3 linked regions of the Arabidopsis thaliana genome follow. The protein of the gene in region 3 purifies or fractionates together with the protein of the main gene of each other region. This does not show direct contact. Each region holds a gene or a part of one and is shown on either strand. Other genes may lie near its edges. The genes, in order: ATS9, RPT5A and FUS9.

Region 1 (4,800 bases), on a different chromosome or scaffold from region 3:
TTTTCACTTTTCAGCTATAAACTGACAATCACACAATAATGGGATACCTACATAACTAGAATAAGGTTTTTACTGTTTATGAAGAAGAAATTGAACAAATATTGGAACACTCTAAATGTTTGTCCTTCCAATAAAAGACCAGTAAACCACTAATGATAAATAACCTTTTCAAACAGCCAAAAAAATGTCTTAAATCTTAACGAAATATTATGATTTGTGAAAATATATGCCTTATCAACATTTTTGTGGATGACTGTAGTATGTCACATTTTAGTGTTAACATTTAAAATAAACGTTTTAACAGAATTTGTTTACTTCATCAATAATCACGAAGCTAACTAGAAAAGCTACTGTGATGAAGCAGCACATAAAAGAATATGACAGAAGAAGAGAACAAAATCAAGACTTGCTTGTGTGCAAGTCATGTCCTGAGTTGAGAAAAGAAATGGTGGGTCCTGTGAATTGAGTTCTGGGTTGGTCAGAATTTATAAATGCGGAGATAGAAAAATCAATGAGATTTGGATGAGGTAAAGATTAAAGGTTTTGGAAAAAGAGAACACAATGTTGACTTGCGAGGCTAAGAAAAAGAAACTGCAACAACCAGATGAAAACAAACTACATTTTAAGCACTAATAAAAGGTAAGAAACCATGACATAATAAGATCATAAGCAAAACGAGTAATGTGAACAATTCAGACAAGTTTACTTTCTCCATTGAGAAACATCAGTTTCTTTGAGTCCAAACGATATCTAAAACCAGAAAGAAAGAACGATAGAATGAGATTCATACGACCAACTCACTCACTCTCTCAGGACATGATTTTGGCAGACCGGACATAAAGGCTGTCGACGACCTTCCCCATGTTTGCAATGGTTTCGAGGGTAGCCGAGTAGATAGCATCTGCCTTTGGGTCTTCGAAGATGATGAGGCATCCAGCTCCTTGATCCAAGGTACCTGCAAATTTCTTGTCGAGTATCATCTGAGATAGCTTCTTTTCCACATGGTCGAGCGGCAATCCAATGAGCTCAGCAATGTGAGCTATCTCAACTCTTGAGAAGGGCTCGATCAAACGACACAGATTTTGCTCCAGAAGCGTGTCATAGAGAGAAGAGAGATGCCTGTGGACAATTGGGTCATCTTCAAGCTGTGCTTTGTAGTCACGGAGTGCGTTCTCAAACAACTTCAAGGACCTCTTCGAGTGAGCATCAGCGACTGCTTTCATGGCATCCAGGTCAGGGCCAACGTACTGTAGTCCAGCCTTTGAGGAGATTATTCCTGCAACATCATCAGCTTGGCTAACCATGATCTTGCACAGTAACATGTACTTCAAACTGAAAACCGCTCTCGGATCTCCGAGAGCGTTGAAGGACTCAAAGGCTTCAAAGAAGTAACTGTATCCGGTTTTGTAGTCTTTCTCTTCAGCATGAAGAATCCCACTCTGCAGATCTATCGTGCCTTGTTGAGCTGGTGGGACATATATAGCGTTAGCAGCTGTCCTAGCTGCAGTGAGTGCAGCTTTTGCCTTGGGTAAGTTTCTCAATGAGAAGTGAAGTTTGCTCTCCAGCAAGTCTATGTCGACCAGAAGGAGCTTATCATCTAATCTCCTAACCTCTTTTACCAAAGTACTCAACAACGCCAAAGCTTCAACATACTCCTTGTTCTCCATCAAAAGAGCTGCAAGCCTAGCCTCTACTCGCTGCCTGAGGAAAGTACGCTTCTCAGCGCGGGTCCATTCGACCATCTCTTTGCAGAGAGTGATCTGGAGATCAGTTGTTCCAGGAATCTTTGCCACAGCATCAATGATTCCTCTGACGATTTTCGCAGTTTTCGCCTTGGGGATTAAGGAAAAGAAAGGCCTCAACTTGGTCAACAGTTTCCGGAGATCCTCACCTCTCTTCTCTTCAGTCAATCGATCACAAAGGTTTGTAATCGCTTGCTCCTTGATCCGTATAGCCTCAGGAGATGAAGAAGGGTCTTCCAAAACCTGGTACAGTATCGTAATAGCCTCCGAGCTGTTGGCTTCTAAAGCCAGGGAAATCGTCTCTGTGGTAGCACGATAGGAAACCATTGTGGGTTTAGTGCAAACTCAAATCCCTGCAACAATAAAGCCATAGACCTGTTAATGCAATGTTCAAATATTTCTCCTTTCAAGCTTATTGATACTCTTTAGGTTTCACATCACTACAAAAACAAATCCATCTTCGATACATTACCAAGATAATCAGATAAAGACAAGCCACGATGGTAATTTATCACTGTAATTTATCAACTCTTCTGTACCTAATGATCAAGACAAGCCTAGAGATCTATCAAAGACAAAGATACAACGAGGCTACAATAAGTAATACAGGAACTGAATTACAAAGCCTATGAAACTATAACCTAATTTTTAAGTAATAAGATGAATCACAGAGACATAGTTCAGTAATTACTAACTTATTCAGTTCGAATTCTTCGACTCAAATACTTTTAAGATCTATTTAATTTTGTATTCAGCTTCTTTCAATCAGAATTAGAACATCCTCGGGCCCATCTTCACTGAGATCAACTAAATCGAAGAAAGCTAAACCCTAGAACTATCGAGACAAGGAACCAGATGTGGTTTTTTAAAACATCGAAAACAATACGCATACCAAAACCCAGAATTAAGCAGATCTGATAAGCAAACCCAGAAGAAGAATTAATGAAATTTCGCAAGAACAAGACTTACCGATGAATCGTCGGGGGCGTGAGATTTTGGTAAAGCTTTTCGACGACGGTATAGAAGAAATAAGAAGAAGAAGATTCGAGAGTTTTTTTTGGCTTGAAAGAAAAGATAAATGGACAGTCTTCTCGTAGTTTTACAATTTTTTGAAGGGTATATTTGTCTTTAGATGCTGAAATCAGGAAATAGAGAACGCTTAACAAATTCGGCGTCTTAAAATCTAGCGTTTCGGATTCAGAGTTTGAAAACCAACGCCAGACGCTGCAAAAGATCCTGGTGCAAACGCTTGTCGTGAAAACGCGTTTTGTGATTCAGGCCTAGTGGCTCAGACTAAAGGCCCAATATATACAAAACTCTGATCCGCCTTCTTTAGGTAAGGGTTCGATTTTATTTGTTGTCTTTTGCTTATTTCAGTTTGAGTCATTTACCTCAAACTATAATTCACATTATATGTTACATATGTAGCTTTCTCAAACTGTCATAAATTTCACTATGCATGTAAATGATTTAAATTTATTTTAGAGTAGGGTTTTTCACTACATCATGCATGTATCTGTTCAATCGAAAAGTAACAAATAAATATTGGAAGGTAATCAAATCATTCGTAAAAAAGAACTCCCAAAAATAAAACAATAACAACGAAAAAAAAACATGGTTAATTAGTAAACTCAGACAGACACATAAAAAACATAAATAAATGTTTTATATATTAAAAAGAGTCATCAAAAAAATTGAAAGTGTTGAGACTTTGAGAGATCGATGTATATGGGTGTGTATATATGTATATTAAGCTTAGAAGGTGACGTCAGGGACGATTCCAAGCTCCTTGAAAACTTGAGGGCATTCAGCGAGAGGAGTCTTCCTCATGAACCCAAGTGGGTTAATGGTTCGAGTCTCGTTGGAGACAATGCCATCATTGGCCGTGAGACTGATTCTGGCTGCGTTTCTTAGGAATTCTTGGTTGTTCACGTCTCCACACTCTGGGTCAGGTGATTGGAGGAGGACGATCTCGCACACTTCCTCTTCGTGGTCACCCATTACTTCCATCTGGTAGTTACCGGCGTTGTCGGTCACGGCTTCTTTGGTTAGGGTCACTGTCTGGTTCTCACGACCCTTGCACTCAAGCTTTACCTTTGCCCCTGATATACACACAATAACGTAATTAGTTTTTCTTATAATCTTGCAACACTAACTCTTAGAAATGTGACTAACCACATTTTTATAAAATTTTAACATTGTTAAAAAGACGTCTATATATGCTTGTAATCATTTTTGTGAATTTTTACTACACAATTCTAACCATTGACCTATATACCATAATGGGATCGATTTTTTATCAACCAATATATTTTGCTATTGACAGTATGCTCAACAAATGAATTTGATTAGAGAATGTGGTTAATTACCCTCGAGAAATTTGCTGATACGGGTGATGAATTGGACACGGCATGTGTCGCAGTAGACGGAGCCCTTGATGTGGAATTTGTCAAAGTCGTCGGCATCAGCTGCGGTGAAGTGAACGAGGGTGGTGAAACATAGGGCAGAGGCAAGGAAGACAATGAAGAATTTGGCCATTATGCCTTAATCCTTTTTTTTCTTGTGTTTTTACTTCGGTCTTCTCCTCTCTTGGATTTGAGAGTTTATTTGTAAAATTTAGTTTTTAAGGGAGAACAAATTGTAAGCTTTGGTTGAGAGGAGACGCTATGATAGATCCAACCAAATATCTCCTTTTATAGAGAACAAATAGACAAAACAACAAAACCATGTGATTCTATATCTATTTTTGGAAGTTTTTTTGTTTATTTTTGGTGTTTTTGTTCTTGAGTTTTGTACGGCTGTGTTTTCCTTGAACCCGATCTTTTCTCATTGCCATCTGTTTTTCTTTTCTGTTAATAATTCTTCATAGATTCCGTTTAGGTCTTTTTTGTATGAGGATGGTTTCCCAAATGTCAATCTATAGAATCTTATGTATGTTTAGACCTCCACTAAAAAGATTCAATGGGGGTGGAGAATTATCTACTAGACCCCAAAGTGAAAGTTTTATTAGTAGTAAATGACTAATTAATCTGAGCCGCACATGAAAGCTTTTGCACAA
Region 2 (5,166 bases), 2.8 Mb from region 3:
CAAGCAACTAAGCCCTAAGTTGGACTCAGAAAACCAAGAGCTGTTCAAGAAACACATTGAGAGTGCCACCAAATTCTTGATGTCAAAGCTCAAAGACTTCCAATTGTAAGCTCTTCTCTTTTATCTTCTTTCTTCTATTTTTTTTTTGAAGTTAATTTTGTCTAATTGGTGAATTATTTTCAACGAATGTGACAGCTTCGTGGGAGAGAGCATGGAAGGAGAAGAAGGGAGCTTAGTGTTTGCTTACTACAGAGAAGGAGCCACTGATCCTACTTTTCTCTACTTGGCCTACGGCTTGAAAGAGATCAAGTGCTGAATACTTCAAAGCTACAGATTTTATTTTTTTATTTTGGAGTTTTACTTTTTGTTAGTACTTTTGGTTAATCTTGAGAGATTTTTCTATTTCAAGTGAAGTTAACTTTTATGCAATTTCCTTAAATTGAGAGCTTGAAAGGATTAGTGCAACGAAAAAGGCCTGATTAGTTTTAAAAATTCACTTGATATACGTTCAAAATACTATGATATATACAAAATATTAGAGATTGATAAGTGAATTCTCTTAAAAATTTCTGAAAGAAAACATAATTTTAGAATAGGTCTATATACCATGAACCAATACTATAGAGATACTAAGATTTCTAAATTTCCAAACTTGTTTTCAGAAGAAGATGAACACAATTAAATGTATTTTGATATAATAGATGATCCTGATTCGAAAACTTAAAAAGATCCAAATCGGAATGAGGGTACAAGTAAAACTAGTTGAAAGATAAACGGCATTGATAAAAATAAATGATGAGAGAGAGAGATCAGGCGTAGTAGTTCAAGCTTGCTTTCTTCTTGGCCTGGACTTGGATGATACCTTCATTGAAGTCTTCATGGTTCACCTGAACACACAAACACAACAACAGAGAACCCCACCTTAAAAAACAGACCAAACTACACAATCATAAAGCTCAAATCATTAAGAGTTCTGTCTTTTTTACCTCTGTGGCATCACGGCGAAGAGCTAACATGCCTGCCTCTACACACACTGCTTTCAGCTGAGCTCCATTGAAATCATCTGTTGATCGTGCAAGCTCCTCAAAGTTGACGTCTGGGTGGACATTCATCTTCCTTGAGTGAATCTGGATTCATTCAGTTGGGTTAGTTGTGTTATGAGAGCCTTTTACTTATCACCAAGGGTCATGTTTGAAAAATGGGAGAGACAAACCTGCAAGATTCTTGCTCTCGCTTCTTCGGTTGGGTGTGGGAACTCAATCTTTCTGTCTAATCGACCAGAACGCATGAGTGCTGGGTCCAGAATATCTGCACGGTTAGTAGCTGCAATCACCTGAAAAAATAGAAAGGTATGGTTGTTACTGTTTCTTTGAGAACGATTTTTAAGACCAGTATGATTAGTCCTTAGAATGGATAAAGACACTCACCTTAATACGTTCATCGCTACTGAATCCGTCAAGTTGATTGAGCAACTCCAACATAGTCCTCTGCACTTCCCTGTCTCCGCTGACTTCACTGTACTCTCAACCAAAGAATGTGATTTGAGCAAATAGCTGAGAAAGTGCAGAAATACATGAATTGGAATCAGAAAAAGATTTGTACCTGTCGAAACGCTTTGTACCAATGGCATCGATTTCATCTATGAAGATAATGCACGGAGCTTTCTCTTTGGCAAGTTGAAAGGCATCACGGACAAGCTTTGCTCCGTCTCCAATGAACATCTGTATATAAATTGGATATGTCATCATGTCATTACAATCAAGTATCATTATAGCTCGTCACATGTAATTATTGTTGCCAGAACACTAAAATCTTATATCCAGACAGGGTAAAGAGTTCTAAGAGATGAGAATTGAATCTGATACTCATATATATATATATATATATATATATATATACCTGGACCAATTGAGGGCCTGCCAATTTAAGGAAGGTGGCATTGGTCTGTGCTGCGCAGGCACGAGCCATTAAAGTTTTACCAGTCCCTGGGGGACCATACAAGAGCACTCCCTTTGGTGGACGAACACCCAGCTTCTCAAAACGTTCCTTGTGCGTCATGGGAAGCACAATTGCCTCTACAAGCTCTTGGATCTGTTCCAGAAATAAACTCAATTAGTTTCACTACGAAGCAAAGTCAATACAGCAGATTAACACAATGGTATAAACATACCTGCTTCTCTAGTCCTCCAATGTCATTGTAATCTTCAGTTGGTTTTTCATCGACCTCCATGGCTTTAACCCTAGAGTCATACTCGGATGGCAAGGTATCCAAAATCAAGTAGCTATCTTTGTTAACTCCAACCAAGTCACCAGGTTTCAAACTATCAGGATCCACGAGTCCAACAACTGGTAGAAAGATGGTCTGCAGTCCACATAACGAAAACAAAAGTATTTGCTCAGACATGAAACGGGAAACGGAAGAGAAGATGTAGAAAACATATCTAAAGAATGGGTTTGGAAGTCTCACCTGCCGTGTAGACGTTTTCAACACAACACATTTTCCTTTCCGTTGCGAGTCAAGATCAATATTTGCACCATCTTCCTCAGCATCATCTTCTGGATTCATCTCCAAAATCTAATAGCATGATATGGTAACACAACAGTTAGAATTCAAATCAAATAGGTAAGACTCTGTAGGAAAATACCAAAAATAAGATAAGAAAACTAGTTGAATACCTCGACAATGTTGCCAACCAAGTAAGGCAGCTGCTTGTTGAGTTTAATCTTCTCCTGATTCTCCTTAATCTTCTCCTTGTAAGAATCACATTCTAGATTTGTTCTTTGCGCGTCTTCCTAAATCCCCATCAAAGAAAAACACAAGATGAGCAATTTCAACATATCCAATTTGCAACAAGAAAGACGTAGCTTTTCAATTCAATCAATCTCAGTTGAGTTGAAAAATCCAAACTTTGAAAACACACGAAGAAATCACAAGAAGGGTCATAAAATTAAAGGTCTAGTTCATCTCCTGCTTCCACGGATTACACGAAACTCAAACCCTAAACCCGTAATCGCGAAAAATCGAAACCAGATTCGAGCCTGACCTTACTGGAATTAAAGCGATTGATGAAACCAATTTAAGAAGATACAATCATGGAGAACGATATAAAGGCAAAGGAGATCGAGAGAGATATAGGGCAAACCTTGAGAATTCGAATCTCGTTGTCGAGAAGACGAGTAGCTCTAGTGATATCTTCGGTGGACATGGAAGCAAGCTGATCCTCTTCGAAGCTTGACGTATCTTCAACCATAGGAGTTGCCATTTCAATACCCAAATCGGAGAGATAGATCGCCGGGAAGAGAAGAGCAAAGAGTTAGGGATTTCTCAAAGGGAGAGGAGAGGGAGAGCGACTATGAGAGAAAAAAAACCAATAAGGAGAGAAGACGAGAGAAAATAAATAACCAAAAAGAAAAAAGTAAATTATATTAGCTATTAAAAATAAAAAAGAGTTTTCTTAGGAAAACTTGTCTTCAAAGAAATGCATAGGGGAAAACCTCTGAACGAGTTAGAGTCTTCCACATTCTCTCGAACTAACTCAATATAAGACAATTTAAACCCCCCTGACTATAGCTTTCAGATTTACATTCCAATTATGAATGTCTAAATCTACTCTTGAAATTGCAAGAACCTTAATCACAAGAACTGCAACAGAAAGATTTCTTCCAAAAAAACAAACTTTATTAGAAATGCTGTTTTATTTATGTCTCTCATCCGAAATTTAAAAGAAAACCAAAATTCATTAAAACATCATAAACCTTTACAAATTCTTGTCATATATTCGAGCGTTAAGTAAACATATATATGCTCAAAACTCAATCATAAATGACAAGTAATGCCTCGGAATCTAAAAAAAACAATAATCAACAACAGAAAAGTAGTAGCATTAAACAAGCTTTTTTTGTAGCTAAGTCAGCATTGGTTGTGATAGTGGAGCCATCTTCATATAGCAAAACGATGACGTTCACGGGAGTTGGCGGGATGTATGCAATTTCAAGAGTAGTGATTCCCATAGGGATCACATTTATTGTGCAGTATCATTCGGCTAGATCTGAGGCGAAAAAGCAGGAGGATGAAAGTGATCACTGAAGACGTCCAAAGTCAGCAATATGCGATTATGAAATCAGGTAAAATTATATTTGTATTAGATGACTACCCACGCTACGCGTGGGTTTGTTTTAAAAATTGTTAAAAAAAAATTACATTGATTGTTCTTTATGCTAATTTATATTTATTATTTGTTTATTTTTGTATTATTAATAAAATTAGATCCATAATATGTAGTGATAATTTTTATGGTTAGATTCATTTGTGATTTGAAATATCAATTTATATATTTTGTCTATAAAGCTAATTATTTATAAGATTTTAATATTTTTTCACTAAATGAATACATATAACAACAATAATGATATTTTGATACAATTCTGTGTAACTATGTTATGTTTGTAGTTTAAAATTTTCCTAACTCGATTATAAATAAATCAATTCCTTGTTTTATGTACTTCAACAATATTGTGATAGACTCATGATTAAAGTTTGGATTGACATCAACTGAAAAAGATCTGAAGACTATTCGTACAAAAAAATAAAAAAATAGCAAAAATTGAATGTCATTGAAGTCAATACTTTTGGATATTTTGTCATTGCATATATCAATATTTAATAAATGATTGTGTCTTGGATGATTTGAAAATTGTTCAACTTGATTATAAATAAGAAGGTGGAGGAAATGGGTAATTACGTATGCTTTTGTTTATTTTTAGACGATGGAAGATACTTAGTTGTTTGTGTGTGTATCAGGAGGAAGGAGACCATCTCTGGACGTGGAAAACTCGAAGATGATTTGCAAGAAATTTGTGAGCCTCAACTATGACTAGTGCTCATGCTTGGAACTGAAACTATTTCTTTTAGTATATATCTAGTAATTGCTAGCTTATCACTCTTTAGACATTTTGCACCATCGTTTTGGGCATGGGACCAATATCTGATCAATATTCAAAAGTGGTTTTTGTAATGACTTTAACTTAAGGATTTTAATTTAATCATGATTCAGGATATATCAGCATCGTCTTAACAAATTAAAACAAAGCTTTCTAACCGAGGTGAACACAAAATTAATGGAGGTGATTGACAATTGAATTAAGAACAAGGATGGGGACAACGCA
Region 3 (3,931 bases):
GATTGGATACTATATATAGTCGATATACTGGATATATCTTCCAACATCTCTAGAGGTTTTACTCAAAACTTCAAGAGAAATATATATGATGCCAACGAAGGGGAACATTAAATAAAAAAATAAGATAAACAAATTGAGTATATACATGTGATGCATAAAATGACATATTCATCTGCATATACACTAACACATCTAACACACGTATAATTAACGGATAAATATTACAACGTACCGATATGAAGATATTAGTCGCAGAGACTCAAAATATGTTACTCTTTTTTAACACTGCTGTTCTACATATTCTCTATATATACCATGCGTAGATAGATATGTACTGACCATTTGTGATAATTATGTTAAACAGAGTTAGGTTAAAAGAACGAAAAGAATTGACCGGTAGATTTGGTCTCTCAAGTCTCACTTGTGTCTTCAATAGAAAGTTTGATCTTTCTTTTTGGAGATAATCAATCAATAAAGATTATGGAACATGTTAGGTACCAACTAATACTCTTCAGTTTAATTATCTCATCTGTAATCGCTTTTCTCTAGAAGTTATGGCCTACTATTCTTGTTTCAAAACAAAATGCTCTTGTTTTCTTATAAAAGAAACAATTCCTCAGTTATATTCAGACCATATATGATCTTTGGTTTTCGAGTCCTTGACGAAAAGATTTGACACTAAATTGTATAACCTTCAATAAATTGGAGTTGTTGAGGATTGGTCCTACCTCACATTGTTGCCTATTATCTGAGCAAACAATTTTCTTGGCCATCTAACATTGTGGTTCCACTTTTATGAATGTACATTGATGACCATTAACTAACCAAAGAACTAGGTGTATTTATAATACATCAGTTGTCTTTTCCTCGTATTGAAGATCTCACTTGGCAAATCGCAATGTCCATTCTTTGGCTACCTCGTCATGCTTTTCTCTATCTGTCAAGTAGAGCCGTGCAATCACCGGTAAAGCTGGACTATCTGGTCGATGAAGAAGAAGCAAAAAGAATAAGAACAATAGAGATTTACTATGGAAGTTAAATACAGTAGTTAGATGCGGACATCTATTATGTTTGTTGGCCAAAACTCATCACAAACTTTTTTTTAAAAACGTTCTCTTAGGTAGATCTGACATGAGCTGGTCATTTCATCAGAGGACTTGAAATGGTCTGATCTGAAGCCTGAGAGTAGAATAGAAACTTACAGGGTTCAGGTTTTAAGAAGATAGATCTGATGGCTTGTAAGACTTTAGTGATTGTAAGGGCTGGACTCCAACTATCTCTTAGAATGTTCACACTTAAATCTCCCGCAGTATCAACATTGCAATGGTAAATCCGAGTCTTGAACACCAACTGCAAATCAACCTCACCAACTTAACCAAAAAGACAGATGTAATAAAAGTGCAAGCTCTAGATTAGTACCTATAGCTTGACTATCACTAGACCCAAAACTTCAAGAAATTTGCTACAAAATGTATCCTAAGACTATGTTGAAAGCAATAAAACTACATAATATGCTAGACACTGAGAGTCTGAGACACTAGATGATCTCTGTTTCAATGTGATGCAGTTGAAGACTCATTGATATTCACTAAATAGTTCTTCCTAAAGAGATCATCATTAGAAATCAAAACTTCTAAACCTTAAATCATTACCAGCTAAATCAGTAAAGCTCCCAAAATGTGTTAACCAAAGAATCCATGATCATACCTTAGGTGGCTTGAATGGATAATCAGATGGGAAAATTATATCCAGGAAAAAGATCCCTCCTTCATAGGGAGTTCCTGCAAAAGTTCCATAAACACCAAATTCAAAGACTTGAAAACCTAACAAATTTTCAATCGGATTATCTACAAATATTCAAAGAGAGTATCAGAATTAAACCCGAAGGACCAATGATGGTGGCGATCCAATGGTAGAGATTATCTCCTTTTGGACCAGCTGAGCAATCAGGAGGTGGATCAATGTTAAGCTCAGCCATCTCCCTCTGTATCCTCTTCCCTGACGCAGAAACTGAAGTCTTCGCTACCCAAGACGACGCCGTTCCTGAATATCCGGCGTACATCGCCGTCGGTAACGGTCTCAACCTCCCGCTTCCGCCAGGTGTCATCATCTCCCGTCGTCGTCGTCTTCCGATACTCTCTGCTTATCCAATCCACCACTTGATCGTTTCGCTCGCACTCCATCGGGAAAAGATTTCGAAACGCCGCGTTTTTGTCCGATCAATTAAACAAATAAAGTAATCGCTGACGTGGAGATTAATTTTGTAACATGTATTTTTTATTTTTATTTTCTCTCACTAATCACTATCAATAAATTTGTAATCATTTTGACAACCAAATTTATTTAAGTTGAATTATCGAATATTCTTGTCCTTTTGTGTAATGTGATCATGTTATAACCACGTGAATCCTTAATAATTTGATAAATGATTATTCAAAGTTCTTGAAAAAGGCACACATTTTGGAAAGAAAATTGAAATTATCCAAAATCAATTTAATTTTTGTTTAAACATAATCAAATTTACTCTGTCAATTTTTATGAATAACATGATTTACGTAAACTCTCCTACAATGCACTGATTCATTTGAATATGAAATTTAAATCACTCTAATTCGAATATTTTAGTTCAAAGATGAAGACAAAAAAAAGAATGGGAACTTGTGAGCCCTCTTTAGTCTCTAGTTACACTTACACTAAAAACAAAGTACACAGTAACTACCGGTAACCGTAAGAAATCCAATCCAAGCCACAGGTAGACTTCCCCGGTTACTACAAAACCGCTTTTTGGCAAACGTTCTACAAAAGGCGGTCATGCTGAAGCAACAGTTGTAGTAGAGTGAGAGCTAACGGTGCCAATATGGGAAGATGGTAGCTAAAGATGATACGTGCGTTTGCGTTTCCTCCCAATGGACTTGCGGGTCCTAACGCATCCGGAGGAAAGTTTCCATTAGTAGCGTTTGCGTTTAAGCTGAGATAAATGGAAAATGATTTCAAAGAGTTAGGAGCAGATTTCATTTTCAAAACTTAACAAGACATAAATTTAGTATCGTTACCTTCCCGTATATGCACATGTTCTATAGCCTGCAAACACACAAGCCATCGAATTTGAGATTTACTCTGAGGAAACAACTTGAAAACATAGAATTATTGCAACACATAGATCAGAGGAAATGAGAAAAACTTACTAGGATCTCTAGTCGTAGTGATAGCCGTACCATCAAAGTCACAAGTTCCACCTGCACTTTTCATCTTCTGGTAATAGTCATTGAAAGCAAAAGAAGCATGGCTCTTAACATCGTTAGGGAGGTAGCAAGGTTGGCCCGGTTGAATGGCAGCGCAGTTAGCTCGGCCTTGACCACACGCCCAATTCAAACCGTCAACCAACTTATCATCATCAGCATCTGCTTTAGCCACGCAGAACATCGATGAACCGTTTAGAGCTGCGGAGCTAGAGCCACCACTCAAACTCAGAGGGTAAACCGAGGTCCCATTTGGAAACAAAATCCCCCAGTTTCTTTCAGAGACTGGTCCTGACCGCTTGTCTTCATTGTACAGCTCGTAGATGTAAGTGTTTATCGGTATGTCTGGTTGACTAGGAGGACCTGAGTTGTTCAGCACTCTCTTGATCAAGTTAGTGTTGAATGTCTCCGCATTAGCGACTGTTGCAGCCGCTTCATCGCTTCCACCAGACGAAGGCCAGCCTGTTTCCGTGACTACAACAGGAATCTTGGAGAAATTCAAAGCTTCCATGGAGTAGTAAGCAGCATCAACCATAGCATCAAACATGCTGTTGTAATGTAAAAGCGTGTTGGGATCAACAATCTGCTTCACCGGAGAAAGCTGCTTGAACAAAGCGTAATCAAGCGGGAAAATCCCATTAGCGGTTGTGTAACCGTAGTAAGGATACGCGTTTAACATGAAAAAGGAACCA

Evidence for each region.
Region 1: the proteins of FUS9 (region 3) and ATS9 purify together in Arabidopsis thaliana (affinity purification with western blotting, with the first as the bait; one study listed by BioGRID). This does not show direct contact.
Region 2: the proteins of FUS9 (region 3) and RPT5A purify together in Arabidopsis thaliana (affinity purification with western blotting, with the first as the bait; one study listed by BioGRID). This does not show direct contact.

Annotation. Positions count from the first base shown.
Region 1 is NC_003070.9:10,178,509-10,183,308, reverse strand, and holds ATS9 (non-ATPase subunit 9), read right to left. Parts: upstream 3,008-4,800; 5' UTR 2,712-3,007; intron 2,711-2,711; exon of another isoform or gene 2,438-2,710; intron 2,096-2,437; 5' UTR 2,070-2,095; coding exon 810-2,069; 3' UTR 521-809; downstream 1-520. Other genes in the region: AT1G29140 (Pollen Ole e 1 allergen and extensin family protein), read right to left, coding at 3,498-3,844, 4,112-4,280. UniProt on the Arabidopsis thaliana protein: Component of the lid subcomplex of the 26S proteasome, a multiprotein complex involved in the ATP-dependent degradation of ubiquitinated proteins. In the complex, RPN6A is required for proteasome assembly.
Region 2 is NC_003074.8:1,601,637-1,606,802, reverse strand, and holds RPT5A (regulatory particle triple-A ATPase 5A), read right to left. Parts: upstream 3,445-5,166; 5' UTR 3,264-3,444; coding exon 3,144-3,263; intron 2,794-3,143; coding exon 2,677-2,793; intron 2,576-2,676; coding exon 2,468-2,575; intron 2,363-2,467; coding exon 2,171-2,362; intron 2,092-2,170; coding exon 1,900-2,091; intron 1,722-1,899; coding exon 1,603-1,721; intron 1,516-1,602; coding exon 1,428-1,515; intron 1,334-1,427; coding exon 1,214-1,333; intron 1,128-1,213; coding exon 987-1,127; intron 888-986; coding exon 810-887; 3' UTR 560-809; downstream 1-559. Other genes in the region: AT3G05540 (Methionine sulfoxide reductase (MSS4-like) family protein), read left to right, coding at 1-105, 196-316. UniProt on the Arabidopsis thaliana protein: The 26S proteasome is involved in the ATP-dependent degradation of ubiquitinated proteins. The regulatory (or ATPase) complex confers ATP dependency and substrate specificity to the 26S complex.
Region 3 is NC_003074.8:4,422,688-4,426,618, forward strand, and holds FUS9 (Ubiquitin-conjugating enzyme family protein), read right to left. Parts: upstream 2,208-3,931; 5' UTR 2,111-2,207; coding exon 1,882-2,110; intron 1,782-1,881; coding exon 1,708-1,781; intron 1,351-1,707; coding exon 1,203-1,350; coding exon of another isoform or gene 1,141-1,202; exon of another isoform or gene 980-1,140; coding exon 882-979; 3' UTR 550-881; downstream 1-549. Other genes in the region: AT3G13560 (O-Glycosyl hydrolases family 17 protein), read right to left, coding at 2,797-2,968, 3,054-3,081, 3,186-3,931. UniProt on the Arabidopsis thaliana protein: Component of light signal transduction machinery. Involved in repression of photomorphogenesis in darkness by participating in the CDD complex, a complex probably required to regulate the activity of ubiquitin conjugating enzymes (E2s).